Macaca fascicularis: one gene and its partner. The protein of the gene in region 2 purifies or fractionates together with the protein of the main gene of each other region. This does not show direct contact. Links are inferred from orthologs where the notes say so. Each region holds a gene or a part of one and is shown on either strand. Other genes may lie near its edges.

What was found.
Region 1: the proteins of PKN3 (region 2) and ARHGAP26 purify together in Homo sapiens (affinity purification with mass spectrometry; 3 studies listed by BioGRID and IntAct, with this or other methods). This does not show direct contact. The link is inferred for Macaca fascicularis from reciprocal best matches to the Homo sapiens genes PKN3 and ARHGAP26.

Annotation. Positions count from the first base shown.
Region 1 is NC_088380.1:149,273,485-149,282,684, reverse strand, and holds the start of ARHGAP26 (rho GTPase-activating protein 26), read right to left. Parts: upstream 4,720-9,200; 5' UTR 4,334-4,719; coding exon 4,180-4,333; intron 1-4,179. UniProt on the Homo sapiens protein: GTPase-activating protein for RHOA and CDC42. Facilitates mitochondrial quality control by promoting Parkin-mediated recruitment of autophagosomes to damaged mitochondria.
Region 2 is NC_088389.1:15,243,251-15,251,754, reverse strand, and holds part of PKN3 (serine/threonine-protein kinase N3), read left to right. Parts: coding exon 1-67; intron 68-138; coding exon 139-266; intron 267-464; coding exon 465-648; intron 649-5,231; coding exon 5,232-5,378; intron 5,379-5,457; coding exon 5,458-5,567; intron 5,568-5,677; coding exon 5,678-5,821; intron 5,822-6,224; coding exon 6,225-6,300; intron 6,301-6,374; coding exon 6,375-6,543; intron 6,544-6,737; coding exon 6,738-6,840; intron 6,841-6,973; coding exon 6,974-7,041; intron 7,042-7,347; coding exon 7,348-7,411; intron 7,412-7,543; coding exon 7,544-7,635; intron 7,636-8,504.

The DNA of each region.
Region 1 (9,200 bases), on a different chromosome or scaffold from region 2:
CTGCATGCAAATGTTTATATCAGCTTTATTCATAATTGATAAAACTTGGAAATGATAAAAATGTCCTTCAATAGATGAAAGGATAAACTATGGCACATCTAGACAACAGAATATTATTCAGCAATAAAAAGAAATGAGCTACCCAGACATAAGAAGACATGAATAACCTTGAGTACACACTGCTAAGTGAAAAAAAAGCCAATCTGCAAAGGCCACATACTGTTTAATTCCAACTGTATAACATTCTGGAAAAGGTAAAACTAGAGAGACAGTAACAAGATTCGTGGTTGCCAGGGGTTAGTGGGGAGGGAGGGACGAACAGGTGGAGCACATAGGATTTTTAGGGTGGTGAAACTATTCCGTATGATACTATGATAGTGGTTATATGTCATTATACATTTGTCAAAATCCACAGAATGTACAACACGAATAGTGAGCCCTAATGTAAATTACGGACTTTAGTTAATAATGTTATATTGATATTGGTTCATCAACTGTAACAACTGTACCATGCTAATGCAGGATGTTAGAAATAGGGGTAACTGGAAGGAACAGGTATGAGGCGCTCTGTGGGAACTTTCTACACTTTCCACTCAATTTTTCTGTGAATTTAAAACTGCTCTAACAAAAAAAAAAAAAAAAAAAATCCACTAATGATTTTAAGTGCAGGGAAGGAGGGTTTAAGCCAAAGTCAATGAGTTGAGAACTACAGACTGGATGCAAATTTATTCAGTCCAACTAAGAACACAGAATGGAGTAAAATGAAGGGATTTTTTTCAGCCAATGTTATATAAAAACTACAAAACTTTGTTTGAATTTAATTTACTGCCATTTATGCTTGTATGAGTAATATTCAAACTGTCAATTACCACCATTTACAAATAATTAGGAAATGCCTTTGATTTTCTTTATTCACAAGGTACTGAAACAAAGCAAAAGATCTGGGGAAAATATTTTGCTACCCAACTCCACATCCATTTGTTCCATTGGGATTTTCTGAGTAACATAATTACTCCTAAACAAAGCAGGTTGGCATCAAACATCCTTTGAGAGTTTATGCCATTCAAGCAGCGCTTATGTATTGCAAAATGCCTATCCTTAATTCTAACAAGTACAAAAGGGTGACAGGCTTTCAACCATGTAACTCAATGCTGACCTTTTTACTCTTGCTTTAAAAGGCAAAGAGGATGAACCACTTACTTACCTTACTGAATCACACCAAGAACAGGTTTTTGGCCTCTCTGTTCAATGCTGTATTACTCAGTGAAAAGACAATCACTGATAATCATTCAGGGCTACCCCCAAAAGAAACTTTGCTGCTTTACAAAGTCAAGACATATTCAGTCACCCTTATCTGTCCCTCTAGCCCACATGGGTTCTTCAAAGCCTGTGACGGAGAAAGAATTACAAAACTTCAGAGGATAATACAACATCTTAGCTGGCCTTTGCTACCCAGGGCTCGGAGTCTAAAAAACAACTCGCAATATTTTCACTTAATCAAGCACCTGCTGCATGTTTCTCCTTTACGGGATCTAGATCTATAAAGAATTTGCATCCCCATTGCCAGCATCTCATTCATAAAGTGGAAGTAATAGTAACAATGATCTACCTGAACTTTGGCAATCCCTAGAGGACAGTTTTACTGCCTGTGATTAACACTCAAAAGCAAGCTAAATCCAAAGAGCTGCAAATACTAGTTATAAAATAACTGTAAAATAAAATAAATATGGCTATAAAATAAAGCCACAAAAGTTTAGAGCTATAAGAGAACACAGATTATCTAAACCCAGTGTTTATATAATTATGTATTTATGTTTAAGTTGTACTGGAAAAACACTTCTGTTTATAAACATAATAAACATGACTGAAGAAAAATAATACACAAACATTAATATAGTAGTACACAATATAGCAAGCATCTCATGATACCAGAATGTCTGAAATCCAGGACACAATGGTTGACTCCACCCTCTATTTCAAGAGGTCACCTGACCTGATCAAGTAGTTAGTAGTGGTAGAATACATTAATAGAGCTGGATGTAGAGAGAACAGAACACCTAGTTCCCCATCAGTCTTTCCCCCAGATTACAGGGCTGATCCATTCCATTAGACAGCTTAAATAACCCTTCAACTCTATCACTGCAATGTTCCTTCCTACCAAAGAATTCTTGCCCTCAAAAAAATAGTAGTAGGAAAACTGCCAGTCACCCAAAGGCACCCTCCTCAGATTCAATGCCAAAATAGAAAACACAAGTCCAAATCCTAGGGCTTGGTGCAAAAGGTTCCATTCCGGGCAAGTGAGATGGGGCAGAAATAAGAGCTCTGCATTGGCAGGGACTCCATCACTGGCTCAAACCAGGTGGATTCAAAAGCTCTAGTCCTGCTGCTAGAGCTGTGTGACTCAGAGGAAGTGTTTTCCCCAGTCTCTGTTTTCTCATTTGCAAAATGAATCTAAGCACATGAGATAATTATAGGTGAAGAGTGCCTGGAATGAAGTACACCTCTGTAAGCACAGGGGTAGCAAAATATTCACTGCTACACCCTTAGTGCCCAGTGCAGTGCCCACTGCAGTGCCCACTGCAGTACCCAATACACCACAAGCACACCAAAAGTTTGCTGAGTGAAGCAGAGAACCCAATAAAGCCAGCCTGAGGTTCAATCAAAATTCCTGGGCCCAACCTGTGAGTGGGCCCCCAACTTACTCCAAACCAGGGACCCACGTCCCCTAAACCAAGAATGGCCTTGATCATTGACAAAGGAAGAGTCTGTTCATATGTTTCAGGTAAGGCACAGCCTGAGAATCCGCCTCTAAGAAGCCTCATCACATCACAGTCCTGTGTTCATTTCATCCCAAAAGATAGGCACTCTGAGCTGCCCTGGCATTCCATTGTCTCTCTCTTCATTTTTAGAAGCAACAAGCTGACAAAACGACATCTCAGGCACCTGACTTTTGTAAGTGCCCTTTAAAGAGGCTTGGGAACAATTCTCATAGCTAGGACTCTACTCTGCTAAGGCAACCTTTCTTAGCTGAAAGGTATCACCTACTAACAAATCCATCACAGAAAAAGATAAAGTAAGAGAGTCAGAGACAATCCCACTATCTGCCTTCATGTGGTTCCTGATTCTTAAAACTAAAAGATGAACTGAGTTATTTTTAAATGGGGAGACTGAAAAGGCACCAAAAACGTTCTCACAATCCAAAGCACTCATCCCTAGAGCACGCTTATTTGGCCAGAAAAAGAAACTCTTTGGCTCTGCAAAAGTGAAGCAGAATGCAAAATTGCATCTCTCCCCTTGTACCAAAAGGAAAAAACGCAAAAATGGTTTTACAAAAGGTCCAAGAATGTTTGAAATACGTTTAAACTTCTTTCTGAGGACTATGGACATTCCTTCTCAGACCTTTACGTTTTCAAGGATAATGGGAGAGGTAAAAGGGAGAGCTTGGGAGCAGGAGAGGGAGAGAGTTGGGATATGCACATTCTATTTTTAAACCCTCGCCCACAGTTTAGAGTAAAGGAACACTCTGATTCTCTACTCCCACCCCTATCACCTTCTGCTAAACACAAGAATCAGAACCTGCGCACGTACTGATTCTAGATTTAGAGATTACTGGCTGCCAATACTCCAAGGAGTCGCAAGCTAAAACCAAGCATTCCACCCAGGGAACCCGGCGGCCTGACTGGGCTGGAGCTGCGTACAGGGAGCGAAGCAGTCACAACCCGCCTTTTCCCAAGGGGAGGCAGCGCCCCCTCGGCAGAGCACGCTCCATTCTCACGGTTGGGCACCCAAGGCTGAGCAACTCTGCCCCTAAGGGAGCTGGAGCTGTGGACACGATGGGATCTGCCCGCAGGCTGCGGCGCGCTGGGCACTCTGGCCCCACTCCTGGGGACACCTGCGTGCCGCGCACGCCCACCCGCGGTGCCCCAGAGCACCACCCGCGCTCGGTCACCTCCCGACCATCCCCGAACGCAAAAAGGCGGAGCGACGGGTCTCTCTCTTCATCTGATGGTTGCGGGTTCGCCCGCTTTACGTATCCTTCCTGCCTCGGAGGCGTCGACACCGGTCCCCCAGTGTACCGGGAGCAGAAACCCGGCGGATGCGCGGGCAACCCGGGCTGAGCGCCACCTCCCAGTCCCTCCCGCCCCGGGGCCGCGTCCCCGCGGGGCTCGGGACACTCACTCTTGAGCGCTGTTATGAGTGACTTCCCGTCCTTGATGAGCTCCTTGATGAATTTGTTGGTCTTGTCCAGCTCTGCTTCGTGCGACTTGAGCGTCTCTCGGAAGTGCGGGCTATCGAGGCAGCAGTCGCTGAACTCGAGAGCTGGGAGCCCCATAGTGCCCGCGGCGCCCAGCCGCGGGGGCGCGCCTCCCCCGGGACCCGGGCCGCCCGCTCCCCAGAGCACGCACGCGGCAGGACCCCGACCGGCTCCTCCGACGGCCGCCGGCTCCACAGGTGTGGCGCTAGCTCGCTCCCCGCGCGGTGACCGCCGGCACGCAAGACTCCCGAACCGAGCCCGGAGCCGGCCGAGGGGCTGCTGCTCCCGGCGCGGGCAACGGAGTGGTTCGCGAGCAGGAAACGCAGCGCCGACCCGCAGCGGCGCCTGGAAGCGAGCGAGCGGGCCAGCGAGTGCAGACGCCGCCTCCCCGCCTCCTTCGCTAGCTAGCTCTCGGCAGCCTCGAGCGCCCTCTCACAGCAGCCTCGGCCGCCCCGCCGGCGTCTGGGCCGCTCGAACCTGCTAGCGATGACTTAATCCCCGCCGGGCCAATCAGCGCACCCTCCCCTGCCCGACCCTCGGGCCGCCCGGGGACGCCCGGCCCTTCCGCGGTCTTGATCCAATCAAAGGGGCCTGGAGGCAGGGTCTGCGGCTGGGGGCGTGGCCCTCGCCAACGCCTAGGTCCGCAGCGCAAACTCCGCCTCCTATTGCCCGCCCGGCGTTGCAGACCCCGAAACCCAGGGGTGAGCGTTGCTGTGCACCCGCTCCAGCACCCTTGCCCGCCTGCTCCGGCCCGAATCCGAGCCGCGCATGGGGAGTCTGCTGGTCCTGGGGGCCGAGGAGCCTCGATGTGCCAAGCATGAAAAACCTGGGAACTAGGGCTGCAGTTCACCACAACATGCCCTGCACTGCTGGGCAACCGATTTTACACTAAAAATGCAGCCCCCTGCCCCGGGAGAATCCCGAGCGACCAAACGCTCCTCTTCCAGTCAGGCAGAAAAAAATGTTATTTGCATCTTAAAATTACCAGCTCTTGCCTGCAGTCTTCCCGCCCCCTACGGTCCGTCTCCCTCACGGCCACTCCTGCTCAGAACCCGCCCACGGCTCCCCTCAGCCGAAGGGGCTCACATCCTTACTAGAATTTCAGCCGCCTGTTATTTTCCTGCTCTGCATCTAGCACAATTTTACATAATTCCGTCCACTGCCTGTCATCCTTCGCTACACGGTAAGCCCCACGAGGGCACGTGCCCCTGCAATTTTATTGTCCGCTGTTGCATCCTGGCACCTAGCACAGTGGCTGGCATTTAATAACAGATATTGAGCGCTTCCTATGTGCTATGTGTGCTATGGTGATTGATAAGTGTTTGTGGAATAAATGAATGATCCTTTCCCAGAGCCATCTCGACCTCCCACGCCCAGTGCATTGCCCTGTAGTCCCTCTGTTCGACCGCAGGACTCAATTCTGGCATCTCACTCGTTGCACTTGTCAGGCTGGGTCCCACAGGGTGTCTAGTGCTGAATTGTGAACTCCTGGAGGATAGGGACTATCCTTGAATAAATTATCTCTATGTCTTGGAATCAGCAGCCCTCCTTCAGCTACATGGGGGCTTCATGTTTGTTTGGGTTGGTTTGTTTTTTAAATAGGTCTGCTATGTGCAGGCACTAGCCTAGATGATAACAATACAAAGATGAATAACAGAATGAATTTAGCTGGTGGTGGTATTAGGAGAGATGGAAGCGAACAAGCGATAACCATGCCTTGTGATAGAATGGAAGGCCTGGGTGCTTGGGAACATGGATTTTTCACTCAGGAGGGGTCAGAGGTGTCCCATCTATATTAAGAAAGCAATTGATGTATTAAATTCATAAATGGAGCATGGTGGTTCACACCTGTAATTCATTGTTTTTGGAGGCCAGGTGAGAGGGTTGCTTGGGGTCAAGAGTTCAAGACCAGCTTGGGCAACATAGCAAGACCCGTCCCCCCCGACCATCTCTATAAAAATATTATAAAATAAATAAATGTATAAATGAATGAATGTGATCTGTTTAATAAGTATATCTACAAATTTAGACTTGATAGCAGGTCCAGACAGCTATCTGATAGATAATTACAACCAAAAATCATTGTTCTTCACTTGCCAACGATCAGAAAGATCTAGAATGGAAACCCTATGAAACTAAATCTGTTTAAGGCTTTATCTTGAGCCCCTAAAGGTAGGTGTTCTGGTTATCTATTAATACAGAACAAATAACACCAAAAGTTAATGGTTTAAGACAACAGTAATCATTTTATTTTCTCTCACAATCTCTGTGGGTTAGGAATTTGGGGAAGCTGAAACCACTGGGTGGTTTTGGCTTGAGGTCTCTCATGTGATTGCAGTTGGATGGTGACAGGAGCTGGAGGAGTGGATGGTTAGCTGGGCATCTCCCACTTTTCAGGTAGACTCAGGGTTTCTCCATATGGCCTTTCTCTGTGGTCCAGTTTAGGCTTCCTCATATGTGTGTGAACATATACAGCTCACAAGGGGAAAGCTGCATCACCTTTTATGACCTAGCCTTGTGAGGTGGGAGGCCTGCAGGACTTGTTTTCCAATCACAACCCCACTGATCAGACCAGGATTCAGTCAAAACAGGATTCACTGAAGCAGCCAGCAGAAACCAGCAGGCAAGGAAGAAAGACACTTTTAGTTGCCCTCACTGCTCATTAGCATGGAGACACTCCCACCATTGCCATGACAGTTTACAAATGCCATTGCAACGGGCCATGGCAATGGCCTGGAAGTTACCTTATATGGTTCTGGAAACTCGCTGCCTCCTTTCTAGAAAGTTCTAAGTAACTCACCTCTTAATTAGCATATAATTAAAAGTAGGTATAGGTACAGCTGCCAACAGCCCTGTACACTGCCCACCCTGAGCATACTCCCTATGGGATAGCCCTGTTCCACAAGAAGCAGCACTGATTCAATGAAAGTTGCTTTCTCTTACCACTGGCTTGCCCTTACATTCTTTTCTGGGCAAAGTCAAGAAGCCTCCTGGGCTAAGCTGCAATTTGGGGGCTTGCCTGCCCTGAATCACTTGGAAGTCACATACTTCTACCACTTTCATTAGCTACAAGCAACTCATAAGCCCACCCAGATTCAAAGGGAAGGAGATTAGACTGTACCTCTAGATGGGGGAATGATAAGAATGGGAGATATTATCGTAGCTATTTCTGAAAAATATAATCTGCCACAGTGGGTCTAGCATAAATAGTAACATTCAATACATGTTAAATGAATGAAATAAAATGTGATCCACAATTATTTGTTTTATCCCATCGAGGAATAGTAGGTGAATGTGTATAAAATAATATATATGTATAATAATAACAACAATAATATATCAGCTATCATTTGTTAAGCTCTCAGTTTATGCCAGGCACTATGGTAAATTATTTACATGCATTTATAGCTGTCGTAGTGGTACACGCCTTTAATCCCAGCTACTCAGGAAGCTGAGACACAAGAATTGCTTGAGCCTGGGAGGCAGAGTTTGCAGTGAGCTGAGGTCGTGCCACTGCACTCCAGCCTGGGCGACAGAGCAAGACTCCGTCTCAAAAAACAGACAAAAAAAATTATTTACATGCATGTAATCCCTACAGGGTGAGACTGGCACTATGATAGTTCCCATTTTTTCAGATAAGAAATTGAGGCCTAGAGTTGTAACCTGAACCAGCTTACCCAGATAATATTAATAATTCTGTGTGGCACAAACATGTAACTTAATATGCCCATTCACAGACAAATATGTAAATATGTGAATAATGTGTACATTTCTCATAAATTTAATCTGGAATTTCCACATAAGACCTCCCACACTTTCAGCAGTATTACTACAAAGAGAGAATCAGAAACAGCAGTACAGGCTGGGTGTGGTGGCCCAAGCCTGTAATCCCAGCACTTTTGGGAGGCCGAGGCAGGCAAATTACTTGAGGTCAGGAGTTCGAGACCAGCCTGCCCAACATGGTGAAACCCCATCTCTACTAAAAATACAAAAAAAAATTAGCCGGGCTTGGTGGTGAATGCCTGTAGTCCCAGCTACTTGGGAGGCCGAGACTGGAGAATCACTTGAACTTGGGAGGCTGAGGTTGCTGTCAGCCGAGATCGCGCCACTGCACTCCAGCCTGGGCGACAGAGTGAGACTCTGTCTCAAAAAAAAAAAAAAAAAAAAGAAGAAGAATGCAACAGTACAGAAACTGGCACATGGAGGGCACAGTTGTCTTTCTCCTCCCAGAAAATCAGCTCATGAGGGTAGAGATTTTGTGTTATTCAATGCAGCAACCCCAGCTTAGAACAGCAACTGGAATTTCAAAGGTGCTGAACATCAATGGGAGGGACACATGTTTAATAAGAAAGAAACAGGACTCATGTGACAACATCAGTTATGACCATGCACATAAATAGAAGAGAACAGTTAAGCTGCAGAAATCACTTTCATATGAAATAGAGAAACAATTTAGGCAACATTTGGCCTAAATCCTTTGGAAGAATGTCTGAATTCCTTAAAATTAGCAATTAGTTCAAACAATTCTGCTTTCAGTATCAGTATACTTTAAACCTCAATGGTCCAATGGTCCAAATAACTTTATACCTGTCATGCAATTACCTCCCGTTTGTAGAAACTTTACCACTGGCAAAGCACTCCCATGTACATTGTCTCTGAGCCCATATAATCAGAAGTGGGCATGGACCAGTCACACATTGGTTCCTGAACACCAGTTTGAGAACAGATCTGATCCATGATGAAGCATTCATGGGTCGTTATGTAACTGAAAAGTTCAGGGATAGATCCAGCTTCAAGGAAGCCTCTGGGGATCTAGAAGATGATAACAGCACAGGTTTCTCTCTCCATCCCTCAAGCTGACCTTTGTCTGTGGTGGCTTCAGTCTCAGTGACTCTCTCAGCTTCTCCAAATTACACCCAGCAATATCAGCAGGAAGAGAGTTTTC
Region 2 (8,504 bases):
CAGCTGAAGGTGGCCCTGCTGCGGATGAAGATCAGCAGCCTGGAGGCCAGTGGGTCCCCGGAGCCAGGTGAGGCCTTGAGATACAGGGAGGGCGGAGCAGGGCAGAGCAGAGGCTTAGAGCTGCCCTCCTTCCCACAGGGCCTGAGCTGCTGGCGGAGGAGCTACAGCATCGACTGCACGTTGAGGCATCCGTGGCCGAGGGCGCCAAGAACGTGGTGAAACTGCTCAGTAGCCGGAGAACACAGGACCGCAAGGCGCTGGCCGAGGTCAGGTCCCAGCCATGGCCCTCTCCTAAGGCCGGCTTCTTCCCATACCACCCTCCGCAGGGGCGTGAAGGGAGGGTGGCTGTGTAGAAGCAGGACTTCTCTGTCGAGACTTCATGCGGAAGGTGACTCCGGGTGACCTGGGCTGCTGCCCCCTGCCATATAATCCACAAACCTGGCTCTACCTTGTCCCCTCTGCAGGCCCAGGCCCAGCTACAGGAGTCCTCCCAGAAACTGGACCTCCTGCGGCTGGCCTTGGAGCAGCTGCTGGAGCAGCTCCCTCCTGCCCACCCTTTGCGCAGCAGAGTGGCCCGAGAGCTGCGAACTGCAGTGCCTGGATACCCCCAGCCTTCAGGGACACCTGTGAAGCCCACCGCCCTGACAGGTAGCCAGAAGTTCCTCCCACTTCAGAGCTCTCTTTCTTTTTTGGGAGAGACCCGGAAGCACAAATCACTTTGGGGAAGAGTTCAAGAGTTTCAGTCCTGCCCCACCACCCACTAGCAGCGTGACCTTGGGAAACTGACATTCCTCTTCAAACCTCAGTTTATCCATCTGTAAAATGGGGATGATATAGCACCTACCTCACAGGGTTACTGTGTTGCACGTGATGTGCCTAGCAGAGTCAGCACTCAGTGTAGCTTGTATTTACATAAATAAGCAGAATAGTACTTAAAGCACTGGTGTTAGGAAGCTCTGGAAAGCTTGATACCCAGCACTGGGCAGCTTGGACTATTAGAAAGTTTTCTAGGCTGGGCACGGTGGCTTACACCAGTAATTCCAGCACTTTGGGAGGCCAAGGTGAGTGGATCATGAAGTCAGGAGTTCAAGACCGGCCTGGCCAAGATGGTGAAACACTGTCTCTACTAAAAATACAAAAATTAGCCAGGTGTGGTGGTGTGCTTCTGTAATCCTGGCTACTCGGGAGGCTGAGGCAGAGAATTGCTTGAACCCCAGCGGCGGAGGTTGCAGTGAGCTGAGATTGTGCCATTGCACTCCACCCTGGGCGACAGGGCATGCCCTGTTGTGAAGCTCCGCCTCCCAGGTTCACACCATTCTCCCGCCTCAGCCTCCTGTGTAGCTGGGACTATAGGTGCCCGCCACCACACCCGGCTAATTTTTTGTTTTTGTATTTTTAGTAGAGACGGGGTTTCACCATGTTAGCCAGGATGGTCTCCATTGCCTGACCTTGTGATCTGCCCGCCTCCGCCTCCCAAAGTGCTGGGACAGGCGTGAGCCACCATGTCCGGCCAAAAAAGTTAATTATCTTGTACTGAGATCTGTCTCCTTGTAGCAGCAGCCAAATTGTAATCAGCAAATAATCTGAGAGCATGGGCTTTGAAGCTGTATCCCACCGAGATACAGTGCGAGCTGGAAAGGCCAGTGCCTACCTGCACAGAGCACTGCTACAGGGCCGACTGACCCCATTCCGTTGTGAGCAGAGCTGAGAAGAGGAAACGCAGGCTCTGGATGGAGCCCTCTCACCTGGCCTTGGGGAATCGAGAAATGTTTTCTTTTCTTTTTTTTTTTTTTGAGATGGAGCCTCGCACTGTCGCCCAGACTGGAGTGCAGTGGTGTGATATCAGCTCACTGCAACCTCCGCCTCCTGGGTTCAAGCAATTCTCCTGCCTCAGCTTCCCAAGTAGCTGGGATTCCAGGCCCACGCCACCATGTCTGGCTAATTTTTGTTTTATTAGTAGAGACAGAGTTTCGCCATGTTGGCCAGGCTGGTCTCGAACTCCTGACCTCCTGTGATCCACCTGCCTTGGCCTCCCAAACTGCTGGGATTACAGGTGTGAGCCACCACGCCCAGCCCAAGGAGTGTTTTCTAGAGGAGGTGGTGTCTTGGCCTTGAAGGACTTACACAGGAGTACTTATGGCCAAGTAGACAAGTTCAGAAATGCAGAAGAAACAGCTTATTAAAAGGCCTAGAATTCAGCTACTCAAGGCCACCCCATATCTTGTCTCCTGGCTAAACACCCCAGTTACTTGAGTTGTCCTTTTTTTTTTTTTTTTTTTGGAGACAGAGTTTTGCTCTTATTGCCCAGGCTGGAGTGCAGTGGCACGACCTCGGCTCACCACAACCTCTGCCTCCTGGGTTCAAGCAATTCTCCTGCCTCAGCCTCTCAAATAGCTGGGATTACAGGCATGTGCCACCATGCCTGGCTAATTTTTATATTTTTAGTAGAGATGGGATTTCTCCATGTTGGTCAGTCTGGTCTCGAACTTCTGACCTCAGGTGATCCTCCACCCGCCTCAGCCTCCCAATGTGCTGGGATTATAGGCATGAGCCACCTCGCCCAGCCTCTTTTTTTTCTTTTTTTTTTTTTTGAGACAGTCTTACTTTGTCACCCAGGCTGTAGTGCAGTGGCATGAGTTCGGCTCACTGCAGGCTCTGCCTCCCGGGTTCACACCATTCTCCTGCCTCAGTCTCCCGAGTAGCTGGGACTACAGGCATCTGCCACTGCGCCCGACTAATTTTTTGTATTTTTAGTAGAAACGGGGTTTCACCGTGGTCTCGATCTCCTGACCTCGTGATCCACCCACCTCGACCTCCCAAAGTGCGGGATTACAGGTGTGAGCCACCGCGCCCGGGCTTTTTTTTTTTTTTTTAAGACAGAGTCTTGCTTTGTCGCCCAGGCTGGAGTGCAGTGGCGTGATGTTGACTCACTGCAACCTTCACCTCCTAGGTTCAAGCGATTCTCCTGTGTCAGCCTCCCGAGTAGCTGGCACTACAAGCGCCTGCCACCGTACCCAGCTAATTTTTTGTATTTTTAGTAGAGACGGGGTTTCACCACTGTGGTCTTGATCTCCTTTTTTTTTTTGAGAGGGAGTCTCACTCTGTCGCCCAGGCCGTAAGTAGTGCAGTGGTGCGATCTCGGCTCACTGCAAGCTCCGCCTCCCGGGTTCACGCCATTCTCCTGCCTCAGCCTCCCGAGTAGCTGGGACTACAGGCGCCCGCCACCATGCCCGGCTAATTTTTTATGTTTTTAGTAGATACGGGGTTTCACCGTGTTAGTCAGGATGGTCTCAATCTTCTGACCTCGTGATTCACCCGCCTCGACCTCCCAAAGTGCTGGGATTACAGGCGTGAGCCACCACGCCTGGCAGTCTTGATCTCCTGACTTCGTGATCTGCCCACCTCGGCCTCTCAAAGTGCTGGGATTACAGGTGTGAGCCACCATGCTGGGCCTTTTTTTTTTTTTTTTTTTTTTTTTGAGATAGAGTCTTGGCCGGGCGCGGTGGCTCAAGCCTGTAATCCCAGCACTTTGGGAGGCCGAGACGGGCGGATCACGAGGTCAGGAGATCAAGACCATCCTGGCTAACACGGTGAAACCCCATCTCTACTAAAAAATACAAAAAAAACTAGCTGGGCGAGGTGGCGGGCGCCTGTAGTCCCAGCTACTCGGGAGGCTGAGGCAGGAGAATGGCGTAAACCTGGGAGGCGGAGCTTGCAGTGAGCTGAGATCCGGCCACTGCACTCCAGCCTGGGCGACAGAGCCAGACTCCCTCTCATAAAAAAAAAAAAAAAAAAAAAAAAAGAGATAGAGTCTTGCTTTGTCGCCCAGGCTGGAGTGCAGTGGCATCTTGATTCACTGCAACCTCTTGTCTCCCAGGTTCAAGCAATTCTCCTGCCTCAGCCTCCCAAGTAGTTGGGATAACAGGCGCCCACCACCATGCCCGGCTAATTGTATTTTTAGTAGAGACGGGGTTTCACCGTGTTGGCCAGGCTGGTCTCGAGCTCCCGACCTCAGGTGATCCGCCTGCCTCACCCTCTCAAAGTGCTGGGATTATAAGTGTGAGCCACCGCACCCGGCCTCAAATTTTTGTTTTTGTTTTTGTTTTTTTTGAGACAGAGTCTTGCTCTGTCGCCCAGGCTGGAGTGTAATGGCACAATATCGGCTCACTGCAACCTCCGCCTCCTGGGTTCAAGCGATTTTCCTTCCTCAGCCTCCTAGGTAGTTGGGATTACAGGTGCCCAACACCAGGCCCGGCTGATTTTTGTATTTTTGGTTAGGACGGGGTTTTGCCATGTTGGTCACGCTGGTCTTGAACTCCTGATCCCAGGTGATCTGCCCGCCTCGGCCTCCCAAAGTGTTGGGATTACAGGTGTGAGCCACTGCGCCCAGCCGAGCTGTTCTTTCTAAGCTGATCTTTCTACCCTGGACCCCTGCCTTTGTTTACAAGTTCTCTCTGTCTGTAACCCCCAGCCCCAGACTCTCCCTAAATGATACTCTTGGGCCTACTTCGTGTCCTCAAAAGCTGCTAGATCCCCACTGCTTTCTCTACCCTTTGAGAGACAAACCTCTAGTGACGTGACACATGAACTTACTTCATTGACAAAACACGTTTCATATCCATTGAGGGAGGTGGGGCAGAGCTGGGACTCACCTCCACTGTTCAGATGGGGAAACTGAGGCCCAGGTAGCAGGTGGGTCCGGACAGGAAGCCAGGCTTCCTGCTCCCTGTCCCAAGCTCTTGTCCTTGCCACAGTGCTCTCCAGGCCCCAGCTCTGGGCAGCATCTCGTCATGTGCTGTGTCTGTGCAGCCTGACTGAGGTCTGAGGTCTGAGCCTGTGTCCCTGCCCCTCCAGCATATGGACGGGAGAGCCAGTTGCTCTGCCCTGGAAAGAGGTGGCTGCCACAGAGAAGCGTGCAGTCTGGGACAAGGTGGCTCCTCCCCTGGGAGTGGCCAGGTTGGAGGCCACCCAGGGTGTCATCGGGGTCCAAGGGCACCCTTCGGGGACTCATGGTACTTGGAAGCTGCAGGGCAGTCAGCAGGCTCCTGTCCAGGCACTCTAGGCTGCCACACTGAGTGAGGTTTCTCAGGTAGCTGCCCTGGCCTCAGGTGGGTAGGGTCTGGGTTCAGCCACCTCCTGGAGAGGGTGGCCTTCCTGGGGTCCCAGGACACCTTGGTGGTAGCAGGGGGAAGATGGCATCTGACAACACCCCCCGCCCACCCTTACCGCAGGGACACTGCAGGTCCGTCTCCTGGGCTGTGAACAGTTGCTGGCAGCCGTGCCTGGACGCTCCCCGGCGGCTGCACTGGCTGGCAGCCCCTCCGACGGCTGGCTTCGGACCAGGGCCAAGCAGCAGCGTGGCCGAGGCGAGCTTGCCAGTGAGTAGGGAAGGAGCTTCGGGGAGGGCAGGAGAGCCCTGCTTCAGGCCTGTGCTGAGCCCCAGCTCTGGCCCTGCAGGCGAGGTGCTGGCTGTGCTGAAGGTGGACAACCGCGTTGTGGGGCAGACGGGCTGGGGGCAGGTGGCCAAACAGTCCTGGGACCAGACCTTTGTCATTCCACTGGAGCGAGTAAGGCTGCTTTTGTGTGGTCAGGGGTGACCTTGGGCTGCGGGGTGGAAGGCTGCCCAGGTCGGGGCTCGTTCTGCACCCCACCCTTCAGCCTGGCCTCCCCAATATAGGCCCGTGAGCTGGAGATTGGGGTGCATTGGCGGGACTGGCGGCAGCTATGTGGCGTGGCCTTCCTGAGACTTGAGGACTTCCTGGACAATGCCTGTCACCAGCTGTCCCTCAGCCTGGTACCACAGGGGCTGCTTTTTGCCCAGGTGCTCACCACCTCCGCCCTCTGACTTGGTGGGCCCCTGGGGGCGTCAGGGCCAGGAAGGCCTTCAAGACCGATGCACTGCATGTAGGTGCAGAGATTGAGGACCAGAGAGGAGGTCTCCAACAATAAGGGCTCCTCGCCGCTCTCTCAGGGCTGCATCTGGAGGCCTGGGTCCTTGTCCTGACTGCCCTGCCTCAGGTGTGAGCCTGGAAAAGTGCTGTCCTCCCTGGGCCTCTGTTTCTCCACTAGTCTCAGTGAGGACATTGAATCTGTTTCCCTGGGTCCTTCTGGCTCTTGCATCTGTTGACCCTGGGGGCTTGGGCTGTGATCCCAGGGGCAGAGGAGGTGCCACGGCAGCTGAGATGGGAGGCGACTGGTCCACAACCCTGCCCCTACCCCTGCAGGTGACCTTCTGCGATCCTGTCATTGAGAGGCGGCCCCGGCTGCAGAGGCAGGAACGCATCTTCTCTAAACGCAGAGGTGTGGAGGGGATGGGGGCTATGTGCGAGGGAGCACGGCTGGGGCCCCGGGACTAAGGTCCCCTTTTCTCCCAGGCCAGGACTTCCTGAGGGCTTCGCAGATGAACCTCAGCATGGCGGCCTGGGGGCGCCTCGTCATGAACCTGCTGCCCCCCTGCAGCTCCCCGAGCACGATCAGCCCCCCCAAAGGGTGCCCTCGGACCCCAACAACATCACGAGAGGCCTCTGACCCTGCCACTCCCAGGTGAGGAGCCCCGTCGCCCTAGACTGCACCCTCCTCTGTGGCAGCTGTGGGGCTCCAAATGCAGGCGGTGTCTGTCTGTCTGTCCATATTGCTCAGCCCCCAACCTCTGTCCATCTCCCTTCAGGTGGGTGTGTCCATCCTGCCAGCTGTTGCATCTGACTGTGCTGGGCACTGTGTCTACTTTCTCCCTACAGTAATTTCTTGCCCAAGAAGACCCCCTTGGGCGAACAGATGACACCCCCACCCAAGCCCCCGCGCCTCTACCTCCCGCAGGAGCCAACATTCGAGGAGACTCCGGTGAGGGGCTGGAGGGACTACTGGCTCCTGGGACCGGCTGGGCTTGGCGGGCTCACCCAGCTGTGGGGTGGCAGGCCTAAAGGGAAAGAAAGAAGGAAGCCCAGCCCTGCCCTGAGCTCTTCTGTCCTCACAGCGCACCAAACGCCCCCACATGGAGCCTAGGACTCGACGTGGGCCATCTCCACCAGCCTCCCCCACCAGGTACCCACATCCTGCGCACCTTCATGTTTGAGACGTTCGTCTGCTTACTTGAACATTTGTGTATCCATCATACATTACTCCGTGGCTCCCTGGCACACGCGCTGGCTGGCTCTCGGGGTCTGATTTGCTAAACCCACATGATTGAGCTCCAGCTCTATGCCAGCTTCTAGGAGCCCTTCCTGCAGGGGTTTCTCGAGCCCATAGGTTGAGACAGCCCCGGACTGGGCATGGGAGGCTTGGAGTGGCTCTGGGTAGGGACCCAGCCCTTGCCGTAGGGGACTTCCTATACCCTCTCTTTCTTTGCAGGAAAGCCCCTCGGCTTCAGGACTTCCGCTGCTTAGCCGTGCTGGGCCGGGGACACTTTGGGAAGGTAGTGGGCTGAAGAGGGTGCTATGGGACAGGATTGGGGGCCTCATCACATGAGCCGGGAGGACCTGATCTGTGTGGGTGGTAAAGGCTCCCTGGTGCGGCCCACCTGGACCCAACCTGTCTCTGGCCCCAGGTCCTCCTGGTCCAGTTCAAGGGGACGGGGAAATACTACGCCATCAAAGCACTGAAGAAGCAGGAGGTGCTCAGCCGGGACGAGATAGACAGGTGTGTGAGGGCACTGCAGGGCACCCAGGATGGCTGGCCTGGGCTGTGGCATCCAGAGGGCAGCTGAAGTTTCCTGGGGCTTTGGAGAGGTGACCCCGTGGGGCCAGTCAACCCGCATTCTCTTTTGACACCTGCAGTTGTTAACTGTGTTTCTTTGGGCAGGTCCCTTCTTCTCTCTGTCAGTTTGCTCTACTGTAAAATGGGGGCATTGGTGACTGCGCACATTCAGAGCCCCTTGTGAGCCCCTGACATATAGAAACCATCACTCTATGGTCAGGCACGGGAGTTCATGCCTGTAATCCCAGCACTTTGGAAGGCCGAGGCAGGCAGATCACAAGGTCAGGAGATCGAGACCATCCTGGCTAACATGGTGAAACCCTGTTTCTACTAAAAATACAAGAAATTGGCTGGGCATGGTGGCGGGCACCTGTAGTCCCGGCTACTCAGGAAGCTGAGGCAGGAGAATGGCGTTAACCTGGGAGGCAGAGCTTGCCGTGAGCCAAGATCGCGCCACTGCACTGCAGGCTGGGAGACAGTGCGAGACTCCATCTCAAAAAAAAAAAAAAAATGGGGGAGCTGGGCACAGTGGCTCATGCCTATAATCCCGGCACTTCAGGAGGCCAAGGTGGGAGGATTGCTTGAGCCCAGGAGTTCTAGGACAGCCTGGGCAACATGGCGAAACCCCCTCTCTACAAAAAATACAAAAATTAGCTGGGCATGATGGTGCACATGCAGCTACTTGTGAGGCTGTGGTGGGAGGATCACTTGAACCCCAGTGGCGGAGGTTGCAGTGAGCCGAGATCGTACCACGTCACTCCAGCCTGGGCAACAAAGTGAGACCCTGTCTCAGAAAAAATAAAAAAAAGACT